Linked DNA regions of Callithrix jacchus. The protein of the gene in region 7 interacts with the protein of the main gene of each other region in a pairwise test. Links are inferred from orthologs where the notes say so. Each region holds a gene or a part of one and is shown on either strand. Other genes may lie near its edges. The genes, in order: HOXB9, MAB21L2, ATP5PO, RUSC1, METTL17, FBXL18 and PNMA1.

Region 1 (4,069 bases), on a different chromosome or scaffold from region 7:
AGGCGACTGCACCTAGGGCCGAAGGTGAGAAGCAAAGAAAGGCTGGGAGAGGAGCCAGGAAGCCAGTCGGTGGGCCGGGAAGAGTCCCCGTGCAGGGCCACAGAGTACATATATTTAAAAAAGGCTACTTGGTAGCTTCAATGAGGGGGTCTGCGGGGAGTAAGGTAGTGAGGAGCAGAGACTGACCCTGGGCTTGCTGTTCACACTGGCCCCTATATCGGTGTTTGGAAATCTCCAGAGCAGGAGCCCCGAGTGAGAGGAGCAGGATAGGAGGGCTGAAAACTCAGCCCAGGCTCCTTTCTCTCTGGACAGAAGGGGAGATGACATGGGACCCCTTCACTTGTTGGTTGAGGATCCCAGGCCTCTGCTCTGGTGACACCTCAGGGAAGTGCCCTTAACCCTTTCTCTTGTTCAGCTCCCTCATCTGGGCAATTTTAGGGGCCTGGATGATTATTCAGTGGAGAAAAGGAGAAATGGTTGCCCCCCCCCCCCCGCCCGCCCCACCTCAAATGCATCCTTCTGGCCAGAGTCAGAGAAAGGCCCAATAAATGTAAAAGCGCTCTGATTCCTTGTATTAAACTCTTTCCTAGGCTCTCGTTTCCAGAGCCTGATGGATCCCTTTAACCTCAGGCAGGTTCTAATTTCAGGACAAACAGTGGATTCTTGGACATTCAGCCGTTTTATTCCCCTCTGCCCTCCACCCTCCGCTACTGAGGGGTCCAGGGAGGTTCCCAGTCTTGTAAATCTCTATAAAGAGTGCACCGAAAGCCCCCTTCAAAGCGGACAACGTCCTAAAATCCCCAACTTCTCCCCTCATCCTTTTACTTCATCTCCTGTGGATTGCTGCTGCTGTTATTTAATAAACATCTTCTGTCAAGGGGACAGAGAAGAGGAAATGAGGGCCTGCAGGGTGGAGGTGGAGGTGTGTGTGTGGGGGGGACAGGACCACCTCATCTCTCAGTATCCTCTCGGGTCTTTCTGGCTGCTCCCCGGGCTGGGCTCTCTCCCTCCCTCCGCCCTTGCTCTCCCTCCCTCCCCGACCCGCCTAGGGAGAGGGCTCTACAGCCTGCGTCCCTCCCGAGGCAGCCAGCCTCTTCCCTCCGCCTCTCCTCCGCCCCCGCCGCCCCACGTCGAGAACTGCCCCCCTTCCTGCAGCGGGAAGAGTGGGGGGGGCGAGGGGGGGGACCGGGCGGCCGGCAGCTCCGGCTGAGGTTACGTGGCCGCCGGAGCCCTGACGTGATAGCACATTGCATCAGCATAAAACAATCCATCCTCGATATGGAATGCGGTGCGGACGGATGACAGCGAGAGCGCAGCCCCCTCGCCGGATTGATTTATGTCGGAGCTGACGCTTTATCAGGCAGTCGGAAAAACTTTGACCAATCATTTTGCTAGGAGCGCTGAGCCGGGCTGCTCCACTGTACTTTGTTGGCTGAGAAGTTGAGCAGGGGGTGGGGGTGGGAGGGTGGGGGGCTGGGGGGGTCGCGTCCGAAAGCCCTCACACCGGTCCGGGTGCCACCTCTCCCTGCTTGGGCGCCGCCGCGCGAGCGCTTCCCTTCCCCCTGTGAGCGCCCGGATAATGTCTGAGAATGTCCATTTCTGGGACGCTTAGCAGCTATTATGTCGACTCGATCATAAGTCACGAGAGTGAGGACGCGCCTCCAGCCAAGTTTCCTTCTGGCCAGTACGCGAGCCCACGGCAGCCGGGCCACGCGGAGCACCTGGAGTTCCCCTCGTGCAGCTTCCAGCCCAAAGCGCCGGTGTTCGGCGCCTCCTGGGCGCCGCTGAGCCCGCACGCGTCTGGGAGCCTGCCGTCCGTCTACCACCCCTACATCCAGCCCCAGGGCGTCCCGCCGGCGGAGAGCAGGTACCTCCGCACCTGGCTGGAGCCGGCGCCGCGCGGGGAAGCGGCCCCCGGGCAGGGCCAGGCGGCGGTGAAGGCGGAGCCGCTGCTGGGCGCGCCTGGGGAGCTGCTCAAACAGGGCACGCCCGAGTACAGTTTGGAAACTTCGGCGGGCAGGGAGGCCGTGCTGTCTAATCAAAGACCCGGCTACGGGGACAATAAAATTTGCGAAGGAAGCGAGGACAAAGAGAGGCCGGATCAAAGTAAGTTATAAAAAGTGAGGAAATACCGAGGCCGAAGGCCAGGAGGGGGCGGGGAGGGGAAAGGCAATAAACAGCGGACAATGTGAAGGGAAGCTGCGGCGGTGGTCGGAGAGCGAGCCGGGAGGAGGGGAGAGTAGCGAAAGACGGAGGGAAGGGGAAAGCTGCGTGCTCTAGAAGGGGAGACTGAGGCCGCCAGAGGAGCATCCCCCCTACTTCTCCAAGTCCTGAGGGGAACAGGGACTCGGGATCGACTTGCAGCTCTTTCGGCCTCCTGTCCCCCCTCTCTCCCGGAGGCCCGAAAGAAAGCCCGGCCAGAGACTGGCTACGGCGGGGAGAGGAGCTGGTGGGGCCCGGGGCCTGCGGCCAGCGAGGCCGGGAGCCGGCGAGGCCAAGGGCCGGAGCGCACTGGGCTGCCTGGGGCCGTGCGGCTGGCAGAGCTCCCCGCGCCACGCGCAGACCGTAAAAGCCGGCCAAGGGGAAGGGGGAGGGGGCTCATTAGGATTTTATTTGCGATGCAACAGCTTGACGGAGGATTGTTCCTAGCAGATCTCGCGCTGTAGCCGCGGAGTCCGCTGCCTGCGTCGGGAGGGGCGGGGGAAGCCCAGGACACGGTGACTGAGCCCCCTCCCCGATGCGCCGGCCCCTCCCCGGGAGCCTTCCCTCCGGTGGCCCCTCTCCTCCTCGGCGTCCTCGTCGGGGCTGCAGCTTCCTTTTCTGCTGTCCCCGCTGCTCTCCGCGGGGCTCCGTAGCCCCAGCCCGGGTTGTCAGCCTTTCCGGGAGTCTGCAGTCGGAAAATCGCTTCTGAATATCGGGGCGTCCCAAAGGGACCCCGGGGATAGGAGGGGTTGGGGGGAAGAGAGGGTTGCGGAGAGGCGGAGAACTTTACCCTTTGTGGGTAGTTTCCCATCACCTCCCACTCCTCAAAAGCACCCCAGCCGGAAAGCCAAGTCTGGCTGATTTCCAGGAGGTGCTACTAGGTGAGAAGCCAGGGTTCTCCTATTATTTATTTTTAAGGTTGAGAAGGGCACATCGGTGAGGGAACTCTCAGCCCCAAACAATGACTCGCAGGCTGGTGGATCCGGTCCTCGTCCCTCACTCTTTTTGAGAAGTAGGGATTTTCTAGTTTCTCCTTGTCCTGCTAAATTTCCCATTGACTGAGTGGCCCCAGGGCCCTTTAGAGCATCTTTGCCTGCTGGAGAGTAAAGAGCTGCCCCATTCCCTGCAGGGTCCTGTCACTTCCAACCTTCCAGGTGGAATCCTAAGAGCTGGCATTTGGGGAACACATTCTTCCCCAACCCTCCCCACACTCCCAAACAGACACTCCCCCACCCCAAACCCCCAGTCTCTTCCTGAAAAGCCCATTATTGCAAGGCAGCCATTTGGCTAGGATCAATTATTAACAGTTTTTCCCTCTTTCATATTTAATGCGGCTGTGGGTCCCATCCCAGGCAATCACGTTAAGGAAATAGTGCTGCAAATTGGTAAGACACGGTTACTTAGTGTAGGAGGAACCACATTTTTTATATAAAAAACCCACCGTTTTTCATTTGGGGACAAGGAAGCTAGTAGCTGGTGGCTGCTATTTTTAATTGGCTTAGCTTTATTTGGCAACTTTTTTGAGTTCCAGAGTGGGGGGAGAGAGGGTTAGAAGAGAGGCCTGTATATATTTTTGTTTCCTCTCTTCCACTCAGTTACCATCTTCTCCCCTTCACCCTCTCCCCGACATAGGACCAATTAAGGCTAGGTGTGCTTCCTGTTACCTCCACATCACCCCTGGCTCCCCACCTTGGGACTGGAGCAATTTTTCTCCCCAATTTCCCTGAACTTGTGTTAACCAAACTGTGAGCTAAGGATGAGCTGAAAATGAGAGAGACTATTGCAGCCATAAGTTATCTGTGAACCCCCGGCACTCCCCTGTCCATAGGCTGGAATTGATAAATGGTTGCAATTGCATTGCGTGTGA
Region 2 (4,088 bases), on a different chromosome or scaffold from region 7:
TATAAACTGTGATCTCACCTGCCTTCATTTAAGAACAATCCACAAACAGTCAATTACAATGTAATGTTTTTATTACTGTTTTCAACAAGGCGGCTCAGGGTGAGGGTAGAGGTGCAGGAGAGGGAGGGGCACAATCTGACATTGGCACTGAGACACGTTTAACATCAGTAAAACTTTTTTTAAAAGAGAAATTTTACATATAGTTAAATAATTTTTTCACTTGGTGACAACATTCAGGCAACCAAAAAGAAAACGAAATGGGAGGGGGAGGTGGAGAGAAAAAGGATGGGGGAAAGAAGGAAAAGGGAGAAACTACTATACATTGATTTGAAAGTGTACCTTGAGTTTCATTTTGTGGTGGCACAGCCCGATTGCTTCTTTTGTGTGACCTTTTAAATTCACATTGTTTGGAAGAAAACGATCACTTTTGTGCAAGAATGTGATTTGTTTTGGTTGGGTTGCTCTCTTTTTGTTTGCTTCTTAATTAACGAAGGTCTTCTGCCTGGTTCCTGTTTATTTCATGTGACTTACATAAAAGTTTGTGTCCAGAGTTTCTGCTGTTTATCGCTGAGTTGTGTGTTGTGTGTCTGAGAGAGCACGCCCTTTTGTGTCGCTTTTCAAGCAGTCCCCAGCACCCTATAGTTTGTCCAGGCTTTTGGGATTGGTGAGAATTTCCCTGGCCAACCTCCAGGTCTGCTTGGCAGCGCTCTCCAGGGCCGAATGGGGCTTGCCCTGAAAGAGGTCGAGGTTGGGCAGAAAGTAGTGAGGGCAGCGGCGGCACTGCAGGCAGGAGATGAGCTGCAGCAGGATGCCGTTGAGCCGGTCGCCCAGGCACGATTCGTCCCAGTCCGTTTCTCGCGGGTGTTTCTCGCACTCGTACAGCAGCAGCGTCTTCATGTGGTAGTTATTGAGCGGCTGGCCGGGCAGCTCCAGGTGGCGGTCCCGCAGAGTTTTCAGCACCGAGAGGCACTTGTTTCGGCAGCCGCCCATCAGCAGGCGGTTCTCCGCCTCCCCGAACTGTAGCACCCAGGCGTCGCTCTCCGCCGAGCTCTGCTTGCCGGTCAGCGAGTAGCACTCCTTCGAGAGCAAGTTGAACCCTTCGGCCTTGACCTCGGCCACCCGATTGGGGCCAGGCCAGGGGATGTGGGGCATAGGCCACTGTGCCGCGCTTCGAGGCCAGATCCCGGTGCACTTGAACGCCGGTGTGATTTGCACCACGTAGCGCTCCCTGATGCGCAACTTGACCTCGCTGGTGTCCGCGATCATCTTGACCACATCCCGATAGCTGCACTTGTCCACCGCCTGAGCCACCAGCGTCTGGAAACGTGAGCGGATCTTACGCGCTGAGAGATAGCCCGACGCCGTGATAAACTCGACCCAGAGAGACATGCTCCTCTTCCGGCCATCGCTCAGTTTGAGCACCGCGCAACCGGGCAGCGAGCCGTCGTCCACGAAGTTGAAGACGCCCATCTGGTTTAGGTAGAGCACCACCTCAAATTCGGTGGGCGAGATGACCTCAAGCCCTTCGTAGCGGGCATCGATCTCGCTCAAGGAGCTGATGAAGCGAGGCTCCTGCACCTCCACTTCCTTGAGCACGTCCGAGACCACCTTACAGACCTCTCGGATGGTTTTGGCGATGGCCGCCTTGCGCGCCTGGCAGCGCTCAGTGTAGTATTTATTGAGCTGGTAAACCAGCTTGGCCTGAGCGGCGATCATGTTGGGGCACAGGTCCGGGCTATACACCGGCGTCTCGCAATACGTTGAGGGATCCAAGGCTCAGGCACTGGTGGTGGCCCAGCGGCTTTCGAAAGAGGCGGTGCGCTCCCCGTTAAACCCCACTTTCACTCTCGTTTTTCACCTGGGCTGACCGGCTGATACGGCTGCCGGCTTTTTTCCTTTTCCCTCTTTCAAAAGCTTTTTTCTTCTGCAAAAAAATTAGGGGGAAAAAAGGTGATTTTCTAAAAAGAAAAGTACCTCCTGGGACCTTTTAACTTTCTCTTGATAATGTAAAGATGACCTTGTGCGAGAGCAGCGGGGTGGGGGTGAGGAAGAAGGAGACAGAAAAAAACCTCAGGATACCAAAAGGTTAGGCTTAGATGTCTGTAGCCGAGATTGCCTAGAAACCTGGAAATGAAGTTTTTTAAGTGCCAACATAAATTTAAATATAAAAGCGAAACATTCAGTGGTTCATTCTTAAACTTCTCTTCCACGCTGGTAGGACTTCTTCGCTCAGTGTAGGTGAGTACCTTCTTCCTCACCCTCCCGCAAACGGAAGGTGCAGGAGGTAATTAATGTCCAGAGAGCTGCGAAGTGCAACTCTGTCCGCCGTGCACTTGGAGGTTTGCTGACACCCCGCAGTCTCAGCGTGTTGGTCTCCTCTCTTCTCGGGGGGTCGTGTTGTCGCAGTTTTCCTCTTTTCCTACTGGAGGCGTTGTTTGGACGGGGTTGGTTTGTTTGTAGTGGATTCTTCTTACATTTCTTTAGGTGCAAACCGCTGGAAGTTGTTTGGTAATCATTTCTGCTTCGTAATTTATAATTTTGGCCCTCACAAAATCCGTTTTAGTGTGACGAAGTCGTTGCTTGCGTTGCATCTGGGGTGTAGTTATAACGATTCAAGGGTTTCCTTCTCCTCTTCTAGGTTGCTTGTACAGATTCCACTTTCTGAGTCGTCTCTCTCCCGCCTCTCCTCTCCGACCTCTTTCTCGCCCCCGTCTCCCCCTGCTTCTCTCCCCCTCCCCCTCCCCCTCGTGCTGCTCCTCTCTCTCCTCCTCCTCCTCCTCCTCCTCCTCCTTCTTCTTCTTCTTCTTCTCTCTCTCTCTCTCTCTCTCTCTCTCTCTCTCTGTCTCTGTCTCTGTCTCTGTCTCTGTCTCTCTCTTTCTCCCTTTCTCTTTCTTCTTCCCTCGCTGTTTCTTGGAGTTATTTAGTTTATGAATGGTCCCAGGGCCATCATGAGGGGGTGGAGCTTCAGCTCCAACAATCGCTATCCGAGCTGTCAGTGCTTTAGCCAATCCGAGAGAGAAGACAGGCACGCTTGGCGAGCGGTAGCAGCCACCACTGCACTTGATAAAGAAAGGGGGTAAAGAGAGAAGTAAGAAAATAGGAGGAGATAATGGAAATCAAATGCTTGCACACATTTTACAGCCCTTCTTCTTTATCCTCCTCTCTTATCAGTAGCAAAGAAGAAAAGGAGTTTATATAGAAGGGACTCTCCTGGAGATGGCTGGAATAACACGAGGGAGAGTAGCAGTGGTTCAGAAAGGTTCACTTCTTTAATTTTAATGATTCTATCAACATTGGGCAGGAGAAGGTGCAAAGTGTAACAAAATTACTTTGGCTTGAAGGCAAATGGGAGGAGAAAGGGGAATCTGGAAAAGGACCTAATTTTTCCAGGTCTCTTCCTCCTTTAAAGTCTTCCTCCCTTTCTTCCCCTCCCCTCCCATTGTTGCCAAGAACCAGAGCAGTTGCTGTATATGTGCACCAGTGGGGCTTTGGAGTGGATATAAGGTGAGGGTTTATGAACATAAATCTCTTTTTAGTAATTTCGATATGCTGTCGTAAAACAGGGCAGGGCAAAAACGACTCCAAGCACCTTGTTTGATAATTGTTTCATAATTAAGATTCACATATATTTAATACCATTATTTTATCGTTACAAGAATTAACCAGTTTCGAAAGAGAAAATGTCTAAGTTGTGAGAAACGGTGCAAATTTATATGTAGAACTTAGTAGGATATACTTTTAAAATAAGCTACTAAAATTGTTTCAAACTTAATGAAAAACAAGGGAAGTAAATGTAAACCTAAAGTTTTCTTAAAATGTTACTGTTAGAAATCTAATTATGAATGTATTCTTAGGGGGTACAAATAGAGTTTCATTTGTAAAATGATTTTATTTTCATAATTGGCTCTTGCTTTTAAAAGACTTCACTGCCACAAAAATCTGTAAGTATCCTGTTATTGATTACACAGATGGCTTCACTCCTCCCTGGGCATTTCAATGAAAGGCATGCATGTGCCTTAAGTATATGGATTATCCTTAACAAGCTGTACCCACTGTAGCCTTTCTGTACTTTTGGGTGAAAAAAAAGC
Region 3 (4,155 bases), on a different chromosome or scaffold from region 7:
AAAAAAACCTGATGCTTGAATTATTTTTCACAATAAACTGTAGATTTTTTTCTACCACTGATGTATGACTACATGTTCTTAGTGGTGCTGTATGGTTGTAGCGGAAAAGCTCAGGCTTGGATGAGGAAGATTTAGTTCCAGTCCAGCTTTAAGACTAAGCTGAGTAACCCCAGGTATATTCTCCCAGGGCCTCAGTTTCTCCTTTTGTAAAGTGGGAAGACCAGTTACTCCCTAACACTGTTATGACATTTTAAGCCTTCATATGAAGGATAAAATGATTTTGATCATTTGATTTGAGAGATTTGGGGCTGGTAATGATGGGACATAATAATTATTTTCCTAAATTCCACCTGATGTGGGTTCATTAAGAACACAGATCTCATAATCTTTTTCCAAGGGGAGGATTGGCTCACTGTTGATTTGGTGGGGGAAAAGTGTGAGTAGGCTAGATGGCCCAGCACATCTTTGAGAAGTTCCTACTCCCTGACAGTTGAATCAATTCTCTATCACACAGGAACTGTCTTTAATCAAATAAAGAAATTTCAAAATAACCCACAGAAACGGAGTCAGACATCATGTTCCAGCTGCTACCAGCTGTTAGCCATGTGTCATTTATGGAGGCCTCCTGGGGAACTTCATTTATTATGTGTCACTAATAGTCTTCTTTATCTGGGGGCAACTGGACTACCGGTTTGAAAAGAAGGGGACTGGCAACTCTCAGAAATAGTGACCCTCCTTGGTGCTTAGTGGAGAGAAAGGGTGTAAAGGGTATGAACAGTCCTTACCAGAATGGAACATGGAGATGTGCAACAGAATTACATTAGAAACCAAGGTACCTTGATTTTTTTTTTTTAGATGGAGTCTCACACTGTTGCCTGGGCTGGAGTGCAGTGGTGTGATTTTGGCTCACTGAACCTCTGCCTCCTGGGTTCAAGCAATTATCCTGCCTCCCAAGTAGCTGGGATTATAAGTGCCTGCTACCATGCCTAATTAATTTTTTGCATTTTTGGTAGAGACGGGGTTTCACCTTGTCAGTCAGGCTGGTCTTGATCTCCTGACCTCATGATTTGCCTGCCTTGGCCTCCCAAAGTGTTGGGATTACAGGAGTGAGCCAGCGCACCCAGTCTGGTATCTCGATTTTAGTATCAACTCCAACAATAATTTTCTGTGATAACTTGGGCATGCCACTTTGTTAAACCTGTTTCTTTCATTAAAAGAATAAGTAAATGCTAGCTTGCCTATTTTAGAGGGAGAATGGAAAAACAAATGATTAAAAACCAAGTTCTCATATTTAAAGATTACACATAGGCTTGTCACAAAGCAAGTACTCAACATCACTCCTTTCTCCACCCTGCACATACCTCACATTCTGGGAACCGAGATGTGCAAAAAGGTTTAGATAGTAACTACCCAAAATCCACGCCCTGACTGTACTGCTGTTTGGCTCACACCTGCACGTGCTTTATAATTACAGAAGAACAGAAATTAACATACCCTCACAAGCTTGGCAAATGGTCTGACCACAGATGTACCGAAGTATCGCACCTTCAAAGCAATAAAGCAAAGTAGATCAAACAAGATTACTTGGAGGGTTTCTGCATTTAACTCAGTAACAACAAAACAATTTTTTAAATGACCTTAAAATCATTAGTTTTGTCTCTTTGTATCACCACATATTACATTTAGCTACTTTTTATTACTAAGGAGTAAACTTACCCAGTGAGGATTATCTCAAGTTGCTTGGGAAATCACCTTCCCACTAACATCCTACTTTGCTAGGAATGGGCCGAGACTAGCACACCTGTATGACAGAGAAACACTAACTTCCAAGAGTGCATGTTTCTAAAATATTTAACGAAAATTTTGGCGTTTCTATTACAACACCCTTAGGCAGATAATTTGCAAACAGATGTACCTTCCTCGAAATCCAAATGCTATCTGAAAATAAAGATAAATTTTTTGAGTACTGCCGCAGTTTTAACCGGCAAGAGGCCCTAGATCTGAGAGAAGGTCTCCCGCTCATCAGAAGACAGAGATGGAATCCACAGTTTAAAAATCACCTGCAAGTGCACAGGTCACAGATCACAGGTCACCTTCAAATACTTCTAGCTATGGAATGTGTTTTGTCAAAACTGCTTGTGAGGAAGAAAAGACTTTTTAACGCTTACGTAAAAATTGCCTCAGATGCAAGGAAGGGGTCATGATACGTAAAGCACCAAGAGGAGATGCAGTACAAAGAGCATAACATTTTTTCAAACTTCATCTTCTGGGTGACTCCGTGGGTTCAAATCGCAACTCCACCACTTACTGGCTGAGCAGCCAAAGACTCATTTAAACTTTTCCGCCTTATTTTCTTTACAAAACTGTGAAATGTGTTTTACGAATGTTCCTTGGCATTACTAGCGATCTCTGACAAGTTTTACCACAATGGCAAAGAAAGCTGATTTAGGGGATAGGCCGTGCCCCTTCCCAGGAATCCAGCGAAGCGCAGACCCTCTCTGCGGCGCCTCTCAGGCGAGCAGTTCCCAAGGCTGTGCTCGAAGGACGCCAAGGTCGTGACACGCGCAGCCCCGCAAGCATCTGGGGGACAAACACTGGGTCGCCCTGAGTCGCCGGGCCCCGCAACCTTGAAGACTGCCAGACTTCCCCAGCCTAAGCATCGCACCCTCGCGCTCTGGGTCTGGTACCGGTCACCCCCGGAGGGATCCTCCCCTTGGCTCTCGGGACCACCTTTCTCTCACCTGCTGGGAGACCCCGGACACTGCTGGGGCAGCCATCTTCTCCCGGGCGGCTGTAGGTCAAACCAGAGTGAGAAGCGAGTGGTGCACAAGGGCGCAGGCGCACGTTAGCGTAATCGCTAGGTTCTCTGGGAAGTGTAGGTCGTAGGGCGTCAGGCGGCATGCGCAGAGACCTCCCTCCGGCTGGGAGTTGTAGTTCTTAGCAGTGGTAAGGGCTGGACGCTGGGGGTGGAGCCAGAGGGCTTCGACTGCACCTGAAAATGAAATCCTTCTTACTGGCTAAGCGGCCCTCGCTGTAGAATGGATTTGCTATCCCCAGTTTTAAAATTTACGTTTAGGTAAATATGGTGGCATTTGTTCAGTTTCACAGTTATTACCAGCGTCACTGGCTTCTTTACACTTCCTTCATAACATGCTAAAGCCTGCATCAATGGCTTTTTCTCATGTTGCATACAAAGACAAAACCAAACAAAAACAAAAAGTGCCCAAGAGCCTTCCCCCTCCAGGAGCAGGTATCACGTCCCTCTTACCTGGGCCATGACTGCCCACTGTTAAATAAAACATTATTCAATGATGGTTGTTGGTAAGGAAGACTTTATTCAGGACCATAGCGATGGATATAGGGCCAGTGCAATTGAGTCTTGGAGTTAGCAGAGAGATTGAGCTCAACTCCTCATAAATTCCCATATCAAGAAGCAGTGGAATGGTCAGTGGATATAAAATTACTAAGAGGAAACAAGTGTAAGGGAGATTCTGGCTAAATCGACCTAAAGGAATCTTGTAGAAGACGGGCCAGGGTGATCACACATCACCTGGGGGATGGTGAAAGATGAGGACCCTGATCAGATATCAAGGATGATCAGTTATCAGGAATTGGGGGTTCTGGCTAAACTGACTTAGCAGTTTTGGTAAAACTGGATTTTTACAAGGAGGTGCATGCATAGATAGGCCTACGAGAAGGTTCAGAATGTTAAATATAGTGAACCCCAAGTTTCTCTTCAAATAATCAGTGTGTCAGTGTGTTCAGCTCTCTTATTCTTTAATTCTCCATTTTAAAGTTTGACTCCCTTGTAGTTTCAGTAAACAAACATTTCCACCAGTTCTAATCACTAGTTCACATCTGTTCCCCCCGTCCCCTGCTCGTCCTGACTCATTCCGGTCACCTACTCTGGTCACCTGCTTTGACCTCTGGTTACTTAGTCTGATCTGCCTGTAACCGTTCTTCCCACCAAACTACCCACCCTGCCACTCCAGCTTGTACCCCTGCTCCTTTTAAAATAGCCAGTTGGAATTAGACTAGACTGTGTGATCTAACCCTAGACAACAGGGGAATGACACAGCAGCAGTGGTGACCTCCATCAGGAATAAGTACCCCTTCCTCTCCCGTGTCCAGGTGTGTGCTCGCCATTGTTCCATC
Region 4 (4,149 bases), on a different chromosome or scaffold from region 7:
TGGCCCGCGGGGCTTGCCCGGGTCCGTCTTACGTAGCCTGGGCTGAGGCGATGGGCTCCTGGTCCAGCGAGGGGCCTTCGGCGGACGAGGTTGCGGTGGCAGCGGGGGGGCGGGTACCTGGCGGGGTGGGGGAGCCGCGGCGGGGAAGGTGCTACTTCTGGGAAAGAGCGGGGACAGCAGCAGTGCCAGCTCGGGGCTGGCCAGGCAGGGCAAGGCTCCCCGAGTCGGAGGCGAATAGGCTCCCACTGGGGACAGGCGGACCGGCAGCAGCTGTTCCTCTGGGGGGGTCGGCGCCCCCAGCAGCCGCAGCCCGGCGCCGGGCCACCCGGCCAGAGGCGCCAGGAGCAGAGACCCAGCTGCGCCCGCGCCCCCACCCTCCAACAGGGGGCGCCCGTCGGCCGAGAACCGGAAAACCAGGGGCCGAGGGAGCAGGAGGGGACCGGCTGCAGGCAGGATTGGCGGGGCCAGGCGCAGAGGGAAGGAGGGCAGCGGGATGGGCAGCCAGGCAAGGAGGGGCGGGAAAAAGAGGGAGCAAAGAGTTAGTCCCGTAACCCAATGACCAGTTTCCCTTTCCCGGAGCGCTCCCTGGTAGAAGGGCCGGGGAGGATGGGAGACACAGAATGGAGGGAAGACAGGGGGCGGGGTTGGAAGGCTAGGAGGCGTGAGCGGCCGAAGCCCAGCCCTCCTCCCGCTTCTGACAACCTCTTACCCTCCAGGCCGGCCTGCGCGCCCGGCTCCTTCTGCTCCTTCGCGGCTGGGGCCTCCTCACCAGCCGCGGGGCTGACAGCCCGGCTCTCCTCGGACTGCCCTTCCGCTATGGGCTGCAGTCCTGGTCGGTTCTTCTTTCTTCGGGGAGGGACAGGTGGGGGTGGGGGCCGGGGCGGGACCAAAGCCCAGCCAGCTGGGGGGTCTCGAGGCGGGACTGGCGGGGGTGGGGCTCGGCTTCGGGACCGGAGTTCCTTGAAGGTGGTGACTTCCCGAGGAGGTCCAGAGGAGCCGCCCAGCGACCCCGACGGGGGCAGCTCAGTGTCGGGCGAGAAGACTATGAGCCAGTCACTGCGATCTTTCTTGGCCTGCGGGACGAGGGGCAGCCCTGGGCCCCGCTTGCGCTTCTGGGCCAGCTCGTGGAAGGACGTGATTGTCCGGTGGGGCACCGGCTCCTCGCTGACGTCACTTCTCCATCCTCCATCAATTTTCCCTGCATCTGTTTTCGAGCCAGAATCAGTTATTGTGTTGTTTTTCCAACCAGAGTCGATTTTTTCAGGTTCACTTTTCCAGCTAGAGTTAACATTCCCGTTGTTTTTCCAACCAGTGTTATTGTTTTCAGTGATTTTACAGTCAGCTTTAGTTTTCTCTGTGTCAATTTTCCAAATGGGGTTAATCTTCCAACTGGGCTCCGTTTTCCCAGCGTCGATTTTTCCATCATCCACCTCTAAGAGCTCCGAGGTAGGGAGATCCTGCTCCGCGCTCTCGTCTTCTTCCTCCAAGCCTGGGGAAGGGAGGTCCTGGCAGGTGGTCAGGGCATTGCAGTTCGAATCCAGGCCAGGGTCGGGTGAAGAAGCAGATCCGGAGCAGGAATCAGGAGAGCAGCAGAAGCTGTCCGGTGAGCAGGTGCCAGGGCCTGCTGAAGCCAGTGGGGAGCCCTGCTCCAGGGGGATGATACTGGGCTGAGGGTGGGCATCCTCATCACCAGGGAGGTCCCGCAAGTAGACAGAGACAGGGGACTCATCTGGGCTAAGATCTGAGCAGGAGCTGAGCGAGGAGGAGCAGCCTGGGTCTGAGGGAGAGGCAGCCCCCTCTTCCTCCTGTGACGGGTCTTGCCGGTTTTCTAGGCCTGGACCGTTCTCTTGGCAGCACCGGCAGGGCACAGCTGGGCTGTTGGAATTGGCGTCCACCAAGGTGCCACTGCAGGGACCCCTGCTCTCCTTGCCCCCAGTGTCTCCTGGGAGAGGGGGTGTGCTCAAGGGCCCCTCCCGTAGCTCAGGACGGCGGGACAAGTGCAGGCCCAGGGAGACGTGCTGGAGGTGGATGTGGTTGAGGTTGCAGAGTAGAGCTCTCTGAGGGGACAGCATTGTGCCGGCGGCGATGGGATGGCCTCTAGAGAACCAGGAGGATTGGGTCTCTCACATCCACCTACCTGGCAACCACAGGTGTAGACCTAGAAGACAGGGGTGGCGAAGCCCAGCCACTGAGGACGAGCTGCCGGAAGGACACCGAGGTGACCGGCGGCAGCAGCAGGCCTGAAGGCTCTGACTGCTTTGGAAGATATTTCAATGAGATGCAAATCGCAATCGACTGGCCATTAGTTTCCACTGCAGTGTTTGCAGGTGGAGTCGAATGTAACCCCCCGGGAATGGAGCGGGGAGGGTCAGAGAACGCGGCTGCGCTCTGGATCTCCGAAGGGGGGCGGGGGCCTGGAAGAGGTCGGGGCCCTGAATGGACTGCTGGGTCCCTGCTGCCGCAATCTGACCCTGCCCTCCAGCCTACCCCTTACTCCTAGATTAAGGGACCCAAGAAGACCCACCCAGATGCCCTGAAAGGAGGCAGGGGATGGGGGTGGGGCAATACGCAGAGTTTGCCTGGTAAATGCAGAAAAGGGGTGGCGGCTGGAGGAGAAAAGGATGCAGCAGCCGTCAGCTTCTCAACTCCGCATCCTCCGGCTGCCTCGGCTGGGCTCCAGCCTGCGCCCTCGCCCCTTGGAACAGCCGTGTGTCCATCATTCTCTCCGCATTCGTCTCCATCATTCAGCCACCACCGCACCCTTTCTCTATTCATTTGTCCAGCCCCGCCCAGCGTGCCCTGGTCTATCGGTCTACACCCATGGGCCGAGCCCTCCTCACCAGGGTCCTCCTGGAACCGCTCCGGCCTTGGGCTTGTCCGCGGCTCCCACGGTCCCCGCCCGGCGGGGAACAGAGCAGGAGGGGAGGGGCACTAGGACAACCCACTCTTCGCCGCGCAGCTGCACCCCTTCGCGCATGGGCGTGGCGTAGCTCAGCCCCGCCCCTAGCGCTTAGCGTCTGGTTTCACTCGCCCAGAGGGTTGGCTATATCCCAAGCTTTTGACCCCAAGGGGCGCGGATGCCAAGGCCCCTGGGTTCTGCTTCCGTGCACCGAGTCCTCCCAGCAGCCCACCCCGAGCATTCAGAGAACCAGACTCCGGCTGGGCCAAGCATTAACAGAACACAAGATTACACAATAATTTATTTATTGAGAGCCTCCTCTCCGCCCTTGCAGTCTCTAGGTCACTTTTTCCGCTTGTAGATTTTGCGCGCAAGCCCCAGAAAGATAGCTGGGGGCAGGGGCGCTGCGTACTGTTCAATCAGAGCCATAATGTGGTTGTAACTGTCTTCCTCATACTTCGAGAACACAGCCGGCAGATCCAGCTCCTCATATAATGCCTTCACTCTGGCCACCTTCTCAGCCTCCTTCTGCCCGTAATTTTCCTGGAAGGGATTGGAGACAGGAAGCTGGGCTTGGCCTTCCCCAGAGCCTCCAGGACACTCACCCCCAACCAATTCCCTTCATTCACATATTCCAGAACATCTCCAAAGCCACCCACTCCCTTCTTGCCTCCAATTTTCAAGTGTCTCTAGATAGCTAAGATCACAAGCTTCCCTTCACCATCCCAAATATTCCCCACATATTGGCTCAGACCCCAGCATCCTCTACTCCAGGGTTTTTCAACCTTGGCACAATTGAAATTTGGGACCAGATAATCCTGTCTGGGGAGCTGTTCTGTGTGTTACATGTTTGGCGACATCTTTGGCTCCTGCCAACTAGATGCCTGTACCACACACGGAGTTGTGATGACGATGACAAAAAACGTCTGCTGACATTGCCAAATGTCCCCTCGGACAAAACTGCCTCCAGTTGGGAACCACTGCTCTGGCCCTTTCTCACCAGCTCAGGGACCCACCACCCGCCCGCTCTCAAGCACCTTCAGGATCTGGCGCTGTTCCGGAGTGGACCGTTGCAGACACTGGACCACGAGCCAGCTGCATTTGTTGTCCTGGATGTCAGTGCCAACTTTGCCAGTCACACTGGGGTCCCCAAAGAGGTCAAGGTAATCATCCTGGGTGGGGGGAGGAGCAGAAAAGGAGGAAACAGATGAGGCCCCCAGGCAGAGGAGTGAAGCTGGTGCCTGTTCCCT
Region 5 (3,981 bases), about 53 Mb from region 7:
TTAGGACCTTGGTAAATATGAATTAGGAGCTATCACAGAGGATATGAGATGTAAATGCTTTTTCAATTTAAATATAATTCAATATAAATGATTCAATATAAATATCTTATGGAATAAGAATCTCCTAAAATAGTGATTCAAACCTTTCTTGGGTCACAGAATGCTTTCATAGGATAAAGAGAATGTCTTTATTTTGTATTTTTTTTAAGAGATGAGGTCTCACTCTGTCACCAGGCTGGAGTACAGTGGAGATCACAGCTCACTGCAGCCTCAAACTGGGCTCAAGAAATCCTTCTGCCTCAGCCTCTCAAATAGCTGGAACTACAGTCAGGAGCCCACCATGCCCAGTGAAGATCCTCTTTAATAAAAAAAAAAAAAAAAAATGCATATGCAACGTCCCAAGAATTCCCATCCCAGAAAACTACTTTATGAATAGGGAACTGACGGTCAAAAAGTTCAGGTTGGAAGTTAAGGGACTTTTACCTCATGGAATGCTCTGGAGACTGCTGCAAAGCCACCATCCAGTCTTGCTGCCATATACACCAGGCTCAGTCCCTCACTGTAGCTGCCATTAAAATCAGAGAGTCATACAAACTAGTAAATAATCTTAATCCCATAGTTACCTTCTAGATTTAGAAAATGACATCCTGGAAAGGGCTCTTCCAGCTCTGGTCTTTCACTCCCCAATACAGAAGGGTCCTGGGGAGCCTTACAAATACTAAATTTTCAAACTTTAATGTTCAAAACTTTGAACTTTAGCTTTTTCAAATACTAAATTGATCCTTTTAAGGTCAGGTGATTAAAAAAAAATACTACATTGATTGTGTAATTGTATTCCCTCTCTTTCAAAGTTCACCTCTCTTTCAAAGTTCACCTTTTCCTTCTTGTGCACCTTTTCCAGTCCCCCTTACCTCAGTTCTTGCCAATGGTAGGTAGTTTTACGTAGTGCATGAAGCACTGCTTCACGAAGTTTCTCCTCTGTCTGAAATAAGTCTGTGGTGAGAACAAGGACTGGAAGTCAGGACCTAGGGAGAACAGGGTTCAGATCTAATATTTGAATATACTGCCCACCCAGTCTTCTCTGACTCCCACCTAAGAAAACCTTCAAGCTCAAGAGAGAAGACAAACCTAGAGAAAAGCTTCAGGTAAGAACAGTAGCAACTACCACTAACAGAATGTATCAGATGGCATTTTGCTTCTAAGAATGGTTTATTTAACTTAACCAATTCTGTCCCACAGGTTTGTTTTATATTAAAGGAAACTGTGATAAAAAATTTAAAGGGTAGGACAAGGACATTAGTTTTTGGATTTCCTCACTTCTCCAAAATTTATGGTTTTGATGATCTCCACTATTCCTATGGAGAAGAAAGGAGACTGAAAATCTAGGTCTCATGACTGTGTTCAGTTCAGTACTATTTAGCAAGTATCTACCAATCACCTACTGTGACCCAGGTACTGTGAGGTGTGCAAGGAATGTAAGATGAATAAATGGCAGGTCTGTAGTGTCAAGGAGCTCACAATCATGAAACTAATTGATGAATTATATGTATTCTCTTATCCCGAAAGAAGGTTTCAGTACTGGGCAGGGGCCATCCAAGGGCTTTATTTCACCTGAATAGAAACTTAGAAGGTCCTAATCCAGTGGACTTGCAGGAAAAAAACAAATATCTAGATTTTAACAGTATATTGGCTGGGCGTGGTAGTTCACGCCTGTAATCCCAGCACTTTGGGAGGCCGAGGTAGGCAGATCACCTGGGGTCAGGAGTTCAAGACCAGCCTGGCCACCATAAAGAAACCGTCTCCACTAAAAATACAAAATGTAGCCGGGTGTGTGCGGTGGTGCACACTTGTAATCCCAGCTACTGAAGAGGCTGAGGCAGGAGAATCACTTAAACCCAGGAGAAGGAGGCTGCAGTGACCTGAGATTGAGTCATTGCACTTCAGCCTGGAAACAGAGCAATACTCTGTCTCAAAGCAAAAACAAAAACCAAACCAAACCAAACCCAGTATACTGGGACACTCTCTAGCAATCTCTAGAATAATCTACCTCCTTTTAGTAAGGAATCGTTGTAACAACTGCTGCTGTGGTCAGAAAGTCAAATAGGGACTTCAGTATCTGTTTGAGAGACTATTTCTTGCTTTTCATTTCTCACTGGTATTTCAATCTGGCCTACTTTTAAATTATTCTTAAGTCCTACCTGGGTTTTCCAGGAATTTTTTCTCAAGATGCACAGCCCGTCTTTGCAACTCCTCTGGCTCTACAGGCAAATGTCTGCTCCAGAGATAATTGGTCAGTGCTTGCACCTGATTCTCCATATTGGGCTCAGCGATCTCTATGGGCCAAAGATGAAAAGCGGAATCACTTGCATGCAGGTCCAGTCCCGTTTCTTCTCCCTTTCCCGCCGTTACTCACCACGTAGCAGTAACTGGGCACCGTTAGACAGTGCCTGTGGCAGCCGCACGTGCGGTAGTTTCCGGATGCCAGGGTGTTGGCGATGGGGCCTCTTCTGCAGGAAATCGGACTTGTTATCTACCTGGGTCACTCCAGGTACTACGGCGGCGAGAGCCTGCAAGCGGATAAAGAAAGGCTGATTGCTTGGCAGAAAGGCAAGCCGCGGGCGCTCGCTAGGGCAGGGACTGCCAGGAGCGCTCCTCCTCCGCGCCGAGATGTCTCTGGAGATCCAGAGTTTCTCCGAGAGCAGGGAATGCAGCCACTCACCCGGGTCTGGGGAACTACTCCAAGGCCGGGACACAATCTTCCTAATGTCAGTCGATACCTCAGAGGCCCCGCCATGGTTCCGGAGGCGAGCCGGAAACGGAAGTGTAAATGCCCGTGACCTTCAGTCCCAACGCCGCAAGGAGCAGCCTTCGCAGAACTTCTCCCGGCAGTTTCAGCCAACGAGAAGAGCGAGTGTTTGCCAGCAGCCAATAAGCAATGGCTATGTAAATATTCTTGAGGCGGAAACCATGTTTGGGCTAACTTGGAGGCTGGGTTGGGCTTTGTCGCCAGCGCCAAAAGTTAAGAGGATGGGGCGGGACGGGGGCGGGATGGAGTTGGGTTGCGAGCAAAGACTGGCAAAGATTGTTTCTCGGAGTAGACTTCTGTGTTTTGCTCTCCTCCGCGGATAACTGAGTCTTAGGTTGTTTTCCCTGTGTGGAAAAAGGGAGAATGCAGTAATGGAAAGAAGAAAAGAGGAAAATCAGATTTCGGCGACTGAAGATAACAGATATTAATAGTTAAATAATTATTGAATAGTTAATAGTTTGATAAATATTAAACCTAGTTAATAGGTTTATTATTTTTTAAATATTTGTTATTTTCTCTTCAAATTAGACCAGTCTTCTTAGTAATAACATAACACTGAGAACACCTATGTGCCAGGTACTTCAGGGAAAGGGATTGATCCCCATTTCACAGAAAACATGGTTCTGAGTGGAATATCCTGCGCCTGCTACTAGATCAGACTGTTTCTTTCTGTCCCAGGACTTCTACAGATGCCCTCTTGACTACCTGAGGTGCAGAATCCCAGGTGGGTTCAGCCACTATTGTGACGTGATAATGTAACATAGGGGAATGGTCTCCAGGGTCTGCAAGCCCATCAACACCTTCATTCACCGGAGCATCAGAAGGATAAGTGGCGCCGGGCGCGGTAGCTCACGCCTATAATCCCAGCACTTTGGGAGGCCGAGGCGGGTGGATCACGAGGTCAGGAGATCAAGACCATCCTGGTCAACAAGGTGAAACCCCGTCTCTACTAAAAATACAAAAATTAGCTGGGCATGGTGGTGCGCACCTGTAGTCCCAGCTAAAACCCAGAAGGTGGAGGTTGCGGTGAGCCGAGATCGTGCCATTGCACTCCAGTCTGGGTAACAACAGCGAAACTCCGTCTCAAAAAAAAAAAAAAAAAAAAAAAAAAAAGAAGGATAAATGGCATATGTAAGGCCATACCTACTTTCTGAGCCTGGCAGTGGACAACTGCT
Region 6 (4,008 bases), on a different chromosome or scaffold from region 7:
CCTGGCGTTTCCTAAGCTGTCTCCTGAGACACAGCACTGATACCACCAGCCTATGCACAAGCTGTCCCCTTGACCAGACATGCCACCCAGCAAGGGAAACTGCGACACTCTCATGCTTCAGCTCAAAAGCTCCTTTCTCAGGGAAGCCCTTGCAGTACTCTCCAGGCAAACTTAACTCACCGCCCCCCACAGCTGACCAGGCCTCCACTCCCAGCCTCGTCGGACGAGCTGTAATGGTTTCCCCACTACTCCAGGAATGCCTTCAGAACAAGGAGCATTTTTTATTTAACTTTTTTGTTTGAGACAGGGTTTCACTCTATCTCCCAAGCAGGAATGCAGTACAATCATAGCTCATTGCAGCCACGGCCTCCTGGGCTCAAGTGATCTTCCTGCCTCAGCCTCCCAAGTAGATGGAACTACAGGTGCAGGTCCCTACACCAGGCTAATTTTGTAATTTTTGTAGAAATGGGATCTTGTTTTGTTTTGAGACAGAGTCTTGCTCTGTTGCTATGCTGGAGTGCAGTGGCATGACTTAGGCTCACTGCAATCTCTGCCTCCCAGGTTCAAGCAATTCTTCTGCCTCAGCCTCCTGAGTAGCTGGGACTACATGTGTCTGCCACCATGACCACCTAATTTTTTATTTTAATTTTTTGATTTTTTAGTAGAGACGGGGTTTTACCATGTTCGCCAGGATGGTCTCAATCTCCTGACCTGGTGATTCACCAGCCTCAGCCTCCCAAAGTGCTGGGATTATAGGCATGAGCCACCACCCTCAGCTAATTTTCATGTTTTTTTTTTTTGTAGAGACAGGGTTTCCATGTTGCCCACACTGGTCTCAAATTCCTGGACTCAAGCAATCAGTCTACCTTGGCCTCCCAAAGTGCTGGGGTTACAGGCGTGAGCCACCATGCCCTGCTGGGAGCATTTTTAATACCTGAGAAAAACAAGTACTGAACCATGTGAAGTGCTATTAAAAAAAAAAAAAAAGCAGAGCCTGGCTGGGGCACAGTAGCTCACACCTGTAATCCCAGCACTTTGGAAGGCCAAGGCAGGCAGATCACCTGAGGTCAGGAGTTCAAGACCAGCCTGGCCAACATAGTGAAAGCCCATCTCTGCTAAAAATACAAAACATTGGCAGGGTGCAATGGCTAATGCCTGCAGTCCTAGCACTTTGGGAGGTTGAGGTGGGTGGATCATGAGGTCAGGAGTTGGAGACCAGCCTGGCCAACAGAGTGAAATCCCATCTCTACTAAAGATACAAAAAAATTAGCCAGGCATGGTGGCAGGCACCACCAGCTACTCAGGAGGCTGAGGCAGGAGAATCGCTTGAACCCAGGAGGTGGAAAGTGCAGTGAGCCAAGATTGCACCATGCACTCCAGCCCAGGCAACAGTGCGAGACTCTGCCTCAAAAAATATATATATATATACAAAAAATTACTGGGAGTGGTGGTCGGCTCCTGTAATCCCAGCTACTTGGGAGGCGGAGCCAGGAGAATCGCTGGAACTCATGAGGCAGACGTTGCAGTGAGCTAAGATCCAGCCATTGCACTCTAGCCTGGGGAATAGAGTGAGACCCCATCTCAAAAAAAAAAAGAGGGGCCTTTGAGCTGGAACTCTGTAAGATCAAAGTACCAGGACCCCCTTTCTTCCCTGACCCCAAGCACACACAACTAACTGGAATCTGCTCACACAGCCATGCTACCCCAGAACTCCTCCTCTGGAGCTGGAACTTGCATTTCAATCTTATCATCAATCTGCAGTTGGGCCACACACCGTTCCTTGTCAATCAAGAAGCCACTGGGGTCATTTCTAGGCCAAGACCACTTCAAATTAAGAGGGGCAGTCAGCACAGCGACCCCCAGCCATTTCCACAGACCCCTGCTCCATCACTTTGAGGAAGACAGTTGAATCTCTCACTCCTGCTCCCTAGAACCCAGGCAAGCTCCTAAATCTGCGAAGTGCACCCAACGGTCTGAGTCCTGAAAGATGACAGATACCAACCCAGGTGCCCATACAGATAGGCAGGAAGCATCAACGGGAAGCCACTAATCAGTCTAGAGTACCTACTACACCCCTGTCTACAGAGACAATACTTTTCACCACATTACAGGGACGCAGCGAGCTTCTCCATCGGACCCAGATTTGTGGAGTGTTGGGAAAGAATTCCAGGGTACGCCGTAAGTACCCCAGGTGAAATGGCTTTTCGTCCATCACCCACCCCCCCACGTCATTCAGCAGGCAAGCTCCACGGAGAAGTGGGCTGGGCTGAAACTGAGCATCCAGAGATAGAAGATGAAGTGGGACGTGGGCACGGAGGGGTATGTCCCAGGGCTGTAGGGGACCAGCCAAGGAACGGGGGCACTGGGGAAGGGGTCTCGGAGGAGCCTGGACACTCAGGGGACGGAGAGGCGGGGGCAACTCTGCCGATCAGGAAAGACGAGCGAAGGGAAAGACAGCTTGTGCCTTCCGAGGCAGGGCAGGCGTCTGGGGGACAGGATGCGGGAGCAGGAGCAAGGGCCAGGGTCCGGATGGGAAGGACGGGACGGGTAGGGGTCGGGATGGAAAGGATGCAAGGAAACCCAGGTCGGGAGGGATGAACCCAGGGAGACCGAGGCCACCGAGGTAGAAGCAGTGCGGAGAGAGGCGCGGACAGTACCTCTCCGGAGCTGGCCATGTCGCTGGCGGGGCCGAGCAGCGGCCTCGGGAGCCGCAACTCCGAGGCCTCCCACCTGCCCGGCTAGGGATGCTGCAAGCCGGCGCGTCCGCAGCTCAACCGAGACCCCGGCAAGACCGGGTCCCGTCACTTCCGGCGCCCGCCTCACGCACTTCCGCTCGCCCGCAGATGGGCCCCAGGTGGCCGCCATGTTAGATGTGGCTCCGCCCGGGGAGCTGCTGGAACGCAGGGGTGCCAGGAAGGGCTCTAGGGACCCCCGCCTTTTCTCTGAGCTCGTTCTTAGACCACTCTGCCCTCTGCACGCTCCTTTCCAGCCACCCGGCCTCCCGCTGCCGGCCCAGCACGGCCCCCTCCAGGCTTTTGCATTTGCCTTTCCCACTCCCTGCCATATGCAAAAGCCACAGGTCAGACCCTCTCTGAGCACCCCGTCTGGAATAGCGTCGCCTCTTCTCCATTTTCACACACGCCCCGGCACTTGCCTCATCGTCTGTGTTTCTCTGTAGCTTTTTGCACCATCTGACGACGGTATCTTTTTTTATTTTTGGTCCTCCCCCTAATAAACTAATAAATTGTAAGCAGGGACAGGATTTCCCAATACCTGGAACTATCCCAGGAATGCAATAGACACTGAATACATATTTGCTAAGTAAATATGAATGTATGTGCCCTCACACTTAAGCGTTTGCATTTCAAAATAATTAGACCCGGCCGGGCGCAGCTCACGCTGTAATCCTAGCATTTTGGGAGGCCGAGGTGTGCGGATCATCTGAGGTCAGAAGTTCAAGACCAGCCTGGCCAACATGGTGAAACCCAGTCTCTACTAAAAATACAACAATTAGGCCAGGCTAGGTGGCTCACACCTGTAATCCCAGCACTTTGGGAGACCAAGGTGGGCGGATCACGAGGTCAGGATATCGAGACCATCTGGCCAACATAATAATACCCCGACTCTACTAAAAATACAAAAATTATCTGGATGTGATGTCAAGCGCTTGTAATCCCAGCTGCTCGGGAGGCTGAGGCAGGAGAATCGCTTGAACCCAGGAGGCAGAGATTGCAGTGAGCCAAGATGGCACCATTGCACTCCAGAGACAGAGATAAACTCTTTAAAAAAAAAAAAAAAAAAAATCCCTGGGATTCACGCCTGTAATCCCAGCACTTTGGGAGGCCGAAGTGGGCAAATCACAGTCAGGAATTCGAGACCAGCCTGGCCAACAAGGCAAAAACCCGTCTCTACTAAAAATAAAACAAATTGGCCGGGCGCGGTGGCTCAAGCCTGTAATCCCAGCACTTTGGGAGGCCGAGGCGGGTGGATCACGAGGTCAAAAGATCG
Region 7 (4,028 bases):
TGGGAGTACTGAGTGGGAGATGGCAGTGAATGTGTAGAGCGTAGGAGGTGGGTGAGTGTGCACCTGATGCTGGTGGGAATGGAGGGGAAAGCTCTGTGAATGATGGGTAGTGGGTGAAGACATGCTGAGTGTCTGTGGTAAGTAAAACATATGGTTTGAGTTAATGACAGTCTTCATAAGAAAAATGGACAGAGTTTACTTAGGCTAAAGATGTTTGTACATGCCAGCAAAAGGAGAAGACAACAGAAATCGAAAAACATTTTTATTTCTGTATGTAACTTCAAATTTAGAACACTCAGAATTAGTATGAACAAGAACTATTTTCTGACAAAGATTTGAAATTGGGGAAGTGAATTACTCTAACAGGTGCACATCAACCTCTCCATGCAATTTACATCTGTATCTTATGCAGTGAAAAATGGGTTACACAGCTCCGTAACTGCAGTTTTTAACATCCCATTTTGCAGTATCAGAATACTTTTCAATTAAACTGATCCACATGTTTAAAGATGAGAAATAGTACGTTTACATTGTAAGGTTGAGTCATAATAAATGCACATTCCCTTCCATTAATAAAATCTGGAACAAGTTATGGTAGACAGAAAACTATCCACAATATCAGTAATCTAACAGTTCACACTTTTACTGAACACTTCCTGTGAGCCAGGCCCCGCAGTAAACATCTGAACATGCAATTTCACATTCAACGTGGAATAGAAGTGTCACAGGTTCACACGTTTTTCACAACTGATTATGATGGCCATGATGACCGCGTGCACTAAGCTCTGTGTCCAACCAGGTAAACGGCATTGTAGCCAGCAAGATCCGCTAGCAGCTCACAGTGCTTGCGTGCACAATTTTAGAATGTTACATGAATACTCAGGCCTGACAAATCCTGCCCTCCAAAAACAAATGTAACAGGACTAAGCCTTTACTACTCAGACACATCTGTAAGACCCCACAGGGACAAGGACAGTAGCTGTGATCTGGGTCTGCACTAAAGCTGCCTTTCCTGGGACTCAGAAGTGCCCTTCCAGGCCTAACTGCAGAAGGGTGGCCTCAGCCTCCTCCTCCTCTTCCTTGGCTTCCTCCTCACGGATCTGCACCAGCAACTCAAAGAGGTTTGGGGCCGGCCCTTCCCCAGCCCCGTTAAGCCACAGCTGCCTTCGGATGGCCCCGCTTTGGTTGGCCCCGGCAATGACCTGCTCTAGACGAGCCTGGTTCACATTATCTTTATCAATGGCCCCCTTCTCCACCACCTTCTGTAGCAGAGGCTCCAAACGAATGACATAAGCAGACAACTTTTCTCCCGGGTTCTGGTAAGTGTTCAGAAATTTGACCTGGGCATCCCTAGAGCTCTCAACGCTCCCAAACACCTGCTCAAGCGCCTGCAGGCATTCGGCAGTAGTTATCGCGGGGTTGTTGGTCTTGAGGATGCGAATGACATCAGCGGCGGGGCCTCTAAGACTCTCCATCAACCGCCGCCTCTTTTCTGCATCTGGCACCTGCCACTCCTCTAGGACCTCATTAGTGTGCTCCAGCCAAGGATCAAAGGTTTCCTCTCCAGGCCCTGGGATGTCCCTCCCCGAGAAAAGTGTCAGCTTCTTGTACCATATGGACTCAACAAGAGGTTGAATAACATTATCCAAAATATAGTTTAGCATCTCTGCTGGCATCTCTGGGACCGGGGTCGGAGTAGGGTTCTGAAACCCAAGGACACGGGCAACATCCTGCACGGTCCAGCCCTCTCTAGCTAGGAAGAGGTGCAATCTTTCTAAAAATTCAGCATCGGAAGTCGGGGGCTTAAAGAACACTTTCCAGACTCCTCCTTTGCCCGGCAACTCCCTGGGGATCGTGGCGTAATCGACAGCGCCAGTGAGCTCTAATAAGGCTGCTTTCGCATTTTCTTCCCTCCAGAACATTCTCCCAAGCACTCGGTAGGGCACCTGGGGCATCGCAGCCTGGAGGGTCTCTTCGATTTCAGCCTCATCACAGTTCACTGGGATGCCCCAGACCAACAGAGCTCTCTGGGAGTTCACATCCATTCCCCTGCACCAGTCTTCCAACAGTATCATCGCCATTTTGTCAACTATCAAGACGCTAATTCTACCAACAGACAGTGGCTCACCTTGCTCCTGGCCTTAGAACAACGCCAGACACTCCCCCCAAGTAGGCCCAAGGGAGGCGAGTTTCACGCAGTCACGATTAACAAAGACACAGAGTCCTGACCTCGCCCTTCCCTGCCCCCACAGTCAGTCAGTGGACGCACTTGGAGACGAGCTCGGAAACGCTGAGGCAGTCACGCAGCCGTCGCCATCTTGCGTCTGGGTCCGGGTCCGGGTCCGGGTCCGCTGCCAGCAGCCGAGGCGTCGCGTCGTCGTGGAGCGGGCAAGGAGCGAAGGCGGGCGGCGAAGGCAGGCGCGATGGGCCGAGAACCGCCGAGGTGTGGTCGTCGGGCGCTCGCGGCGGCTCCCAGAGAGGATCTGGCGTTCGCGGTCGCAGCCCGGTCTTCCGAGGGCGAGGAGAGGTCGTTTGGGAGACCCGGCACAGGCAGACTGTGCCGAAGTCGCGGCGGCTGCGGGCCAGCTGAGAGCGGCTTCTTGGCAGGAGCAGGGACTCTTCCGGGAGGGTGGCGAGGACCGCCGAGGACCAGAAACGAAGGCAACAGAGGAGCAGGAGAGCTGGCGAAGCTGGGCTGGAGACAGCAGAAGAGAGGATGAGCAGCGGCGGCCGCAACGATCTGCACTGCGCTGCTACCCAGACGTAGTGTCCTACCCGCAACCTGCGGCGATGTTACTGCAGCAGTGAAGGGTGGGGCCAGCCCGTGAGCGGCGTCTGCCCCACTCCGTCACGCCCCCGCGGCGGAGCCGCTCGGGTGTCGCCATGGCAACGGCTTCTCAGCCTGCACGAGACTCGTCTGCTCTGGCGGCCCACCGCGGGCGGGGGAGTGGGGGTGGGGCGGAGTCCAGCGGTTACCATGGTGCCCCGGGCACCTGTTTCTCTGATGGCGTAATTTTCTTCTTCTTTTTTTTTTTTTAAACAGAGAACAAAGACTGCTAAGCACCGTATTTTAAAAATAACCCAATCCTGGAGTGGACTTAAGATGATATTGTTGGAAATGCATCCCTCATGGTGGACTCATCTCAGATTGCTCAGCCAGTCCACCCTGCACGTGAGAATATCCTCAGAACCGTAGCTTCCCTGTTCCCCCAACCACACTCTGCACCCTGCATATTTCATCCCAACGCAGCCAAAATGTCGGCGTGTGCCATTTACGTATATTTTTGTAAGATACGGAGTTGCCTTTTTCTTGTCTAAAATTTTGTAAAAAAGATGTTTGTCTATGTCTACTCAGTCATCTTTTAGCCAGGTAAACATTAATATGTTATTTCCCTTTTCCTGGCTGGCATCATTGACAATAGGCTGCTAAAAGAGAATCCGTATGGTTCGAAAATGTTGAGTAATCTTTGTGCAAGCAAGACAAGACCCACTTACATCAATCCCAGATGGTGAAAATCCCAGAGAACACAGCATGCAACTCTGAATTTTTAAAACCTTATTTAATAAAAGGTTTAAAGATACAGAAGAACATTCAAAAGTAAATAAGTTACATAGGTACATTACAATCACATCAGCAAGATTCTTTAGTGTATTAATTTTTTTCTTATAAAAAGCACACAAAAAATAAAATCTTCAGTCTCTATCACAACTGTACAGCAAAAGAGGTAATATTTATATATATATGTACACTATTTTAATATGTAACAGTCTTTTTAAAAAAGGGTGCCACAGGCAGCAAACACAAAAAAGGCAGTGTCTGATCATTTGTTTCAAAATAAAAGGAATATACTTATTTATATGCTATTAAAATATTTGTACAATAATTACAGACTGTCAAGGCTGTTCCTGTGCTGTCCCTTCCAACAAGGCCTTCAACTTAGAGACAAATGAGGAAAAAGTGAAACAGCTGCAAATTGTTAGAGGCAAATATTAACATAGCAAAATGTGGGGAGGACACAATTGTTTTA

The links.
Region 1: the proteins of PNMA1 (region 7) and HOXB9 interact in binary tests that used the Homo sapiens proteins (3 or more experiments, as listed by UniProt). The two-hybrid records come from large-scale screens. The link is inferred for Callithrix jacchus from reciprocal best matches to the Homo sapiens genes PNMA1 and HOXB9.
Region 2: the proteins of PNMA1 (region 7) and MAB21L2 interact in binary tests that used the Homo sapiens proteins (3 or more experiments, as listed by UniProt). The two-hybrid records come from large-scale screens. The link is inferred for Callithrix jacchus from reciprocal best matches to the Homo sapiens genes PNMA1 and MAB21L2.
Region 3: the proteins of PNMA1 (region 7) and ATP5PO interact in binary tests that used the Homo sapiens proteins (3 or more experiments, as listed by UniProt). The two-hybrid records come from large-scale screens. The link is inferred for Callithrix jacchus from reciprocal best matches to the Homo sapiens genes PNMA1 and ATP5PO.
Region 4: the proteins of PNMA1 (region 7) and RUSC1 interact in binary tests that used the Homo sapiens proteins (3 or more experiments, as listed by UniProt). The two-hybrid records come from large-scale screens. The link is inferred for Callithrix jacchus from reciprocal best matches to the Homo sapiens genes PNMA1 and RUSC1.
Region 5: the proteins of PNMA1 (region 7) and METTL17 interact in binary tests that used the Homo sapiens proteins (3 or more experiments, as listed by UniProt). The link is inferred for Callithrix jacchus from reciprocal best matches to the Homo sapiens genes PNMA1 and METTL17.
Region 6: the proteins of PNMA1 (region 7) and FBXL18 interact in a two-hybrid assay, tested with the Homo sapiens proteins (2 studies listed by BioGRID). The two-hybrid records come from large-scale screens. The link is inferred for Callithrix jacchus from reciprocal best matches to the Homo sapiens genes PNMA1 and FBXL18.

The regions. Positions count from the first base shown.
Region 1 is NC_133506.1:117,650,603-117,654,671, forward strand, and holds the start of HOXB9 (homeobox protein Hox-B9), read left to right. Parts: upstream 1-1,269; 5' UTR 1,270-1,589; coding exon 1,590-2,106; intron 2,107-4,069. UniProt on the Homo sapiens protein: Sequence-specific transcription factor which is part of a developmental regulatory system that provides cells with specific positional identities on the anterior-posterior axis.
Region 2 is NC_133504.1:46,207,836-46,211,923, forward strand, and holds MAB21L2 (protein mab-21-like 2), read right to left. Parts: upstream 2,801-4,088; 5' UTR 1,717-2,800; coding exon 637-1,716; 3' UTR 57-636; downstream 1-56. UniProt on the Homo sapiens protein: Required for several aspects of embryonic development including normal development of the eye.
Region 3 is NC_133522.1:39,988,583-39,992,737, forward strand, and holds the start of ATP5PO (ATP synthase peripheral stalk subunit OSCP, mitochondrial), read right to left. Parts: upstream 2,801-4,155; 5' UTR 2,778-2,800; coding exon 2,742-2,777; intron 1,546-2,741; coding exon 1,495-1,545; intron 1-1,494. UniProt on the Homo sapiens protein: Subunit OSCP, of the mitochondrial membrane ATP synthase complex (F(1)F(0) ATP synthase or Complex V) that produces ATP from ADP in the presence of a proton gradient across the membrane which is generated by electron transport complexes of the respiratory chain.
Region 4 is NC_133519.1:15,748,569-15,752,717, reverse strand, and holds the start of RUSC1 (AP-4 complex accessory subunit RUSC1), read right to left. Parts: upstream 2,801-4,149; intron 2,799-2,800; coding exon of another isoform or gene 2,279-2,798; exon of another isoform or gene 2,200-2,278; 5' UTR 2,073-2,199; coding exon 710-2,072; intron 444-709; coding exon 33-443; exon of another isoform or gene 1-32. Other genes in the region: FDPS (farnesyl pyrophosphate synthase), read right to left, coding at 3,242-3,442, 3,937-4,071. UniProt on the Homo sapiens protein: Associates with the adapter-like complex 4 (AP-4) and may therefore play a role in vesicular trafficking of proteins at the trans-Golgi network. Signaling adapter which plays a role in neuronal differentiation.
Region 5 is NC_133509.1:55,498,020-55,502,000, reverse strand, and holds the start of METTL17 (ribosome assembly protein METTL17, mitochondrial), read right to left. Parts: upstream 2,801-3,981; 5' UTR 2,795-2,800; coding exon 2,720-2,794; intron 2,568-2,719; coding exon 2,414-2,567; intron 2,334-2,413; coding exon 2,199-2,333; intron 994-2,198; coding exon 912-993; intron 566-911; coding exon 484-565; intron 1-483. UniProt on the Homo sapiens protein: Mitochondrial ribosome (mitoribosome) assembly factor. Binds at the interface of the head and body domains of the mitochondrial small ribosomal subunit (mt-SSU), occluding the mRNA channel and preventing compaction of the head domain towards the body.
Region 6 is NC_133503.1:17,013,213-17,017,220, reverse strand, and holds the start of FBXL18 (F-box/LRR-repeat protein 18), read right to left. Parts: upstream 2,801-4,008; 5' UTR 2,676-2,800; coding exon 2,658-2,675; intron 1-2,657. UniProt on the Homo sapiens protein: Substrate-recognition component of the SCF (SKP1-CUL1-F-box protein)-type E3 ubiquitin ligase complex.
Region 7 is NC_133509.1:108,629,448-108,633,475, forward strand, and holds PNMA1 (paraneoplastic antigen Ma1), read right to left. Parts: upstream 2,801-4,028; 5' UTR 2,082-2,800; coding exon 1,020-2,081; 3' UTR 250-1,019; downstream 1-249.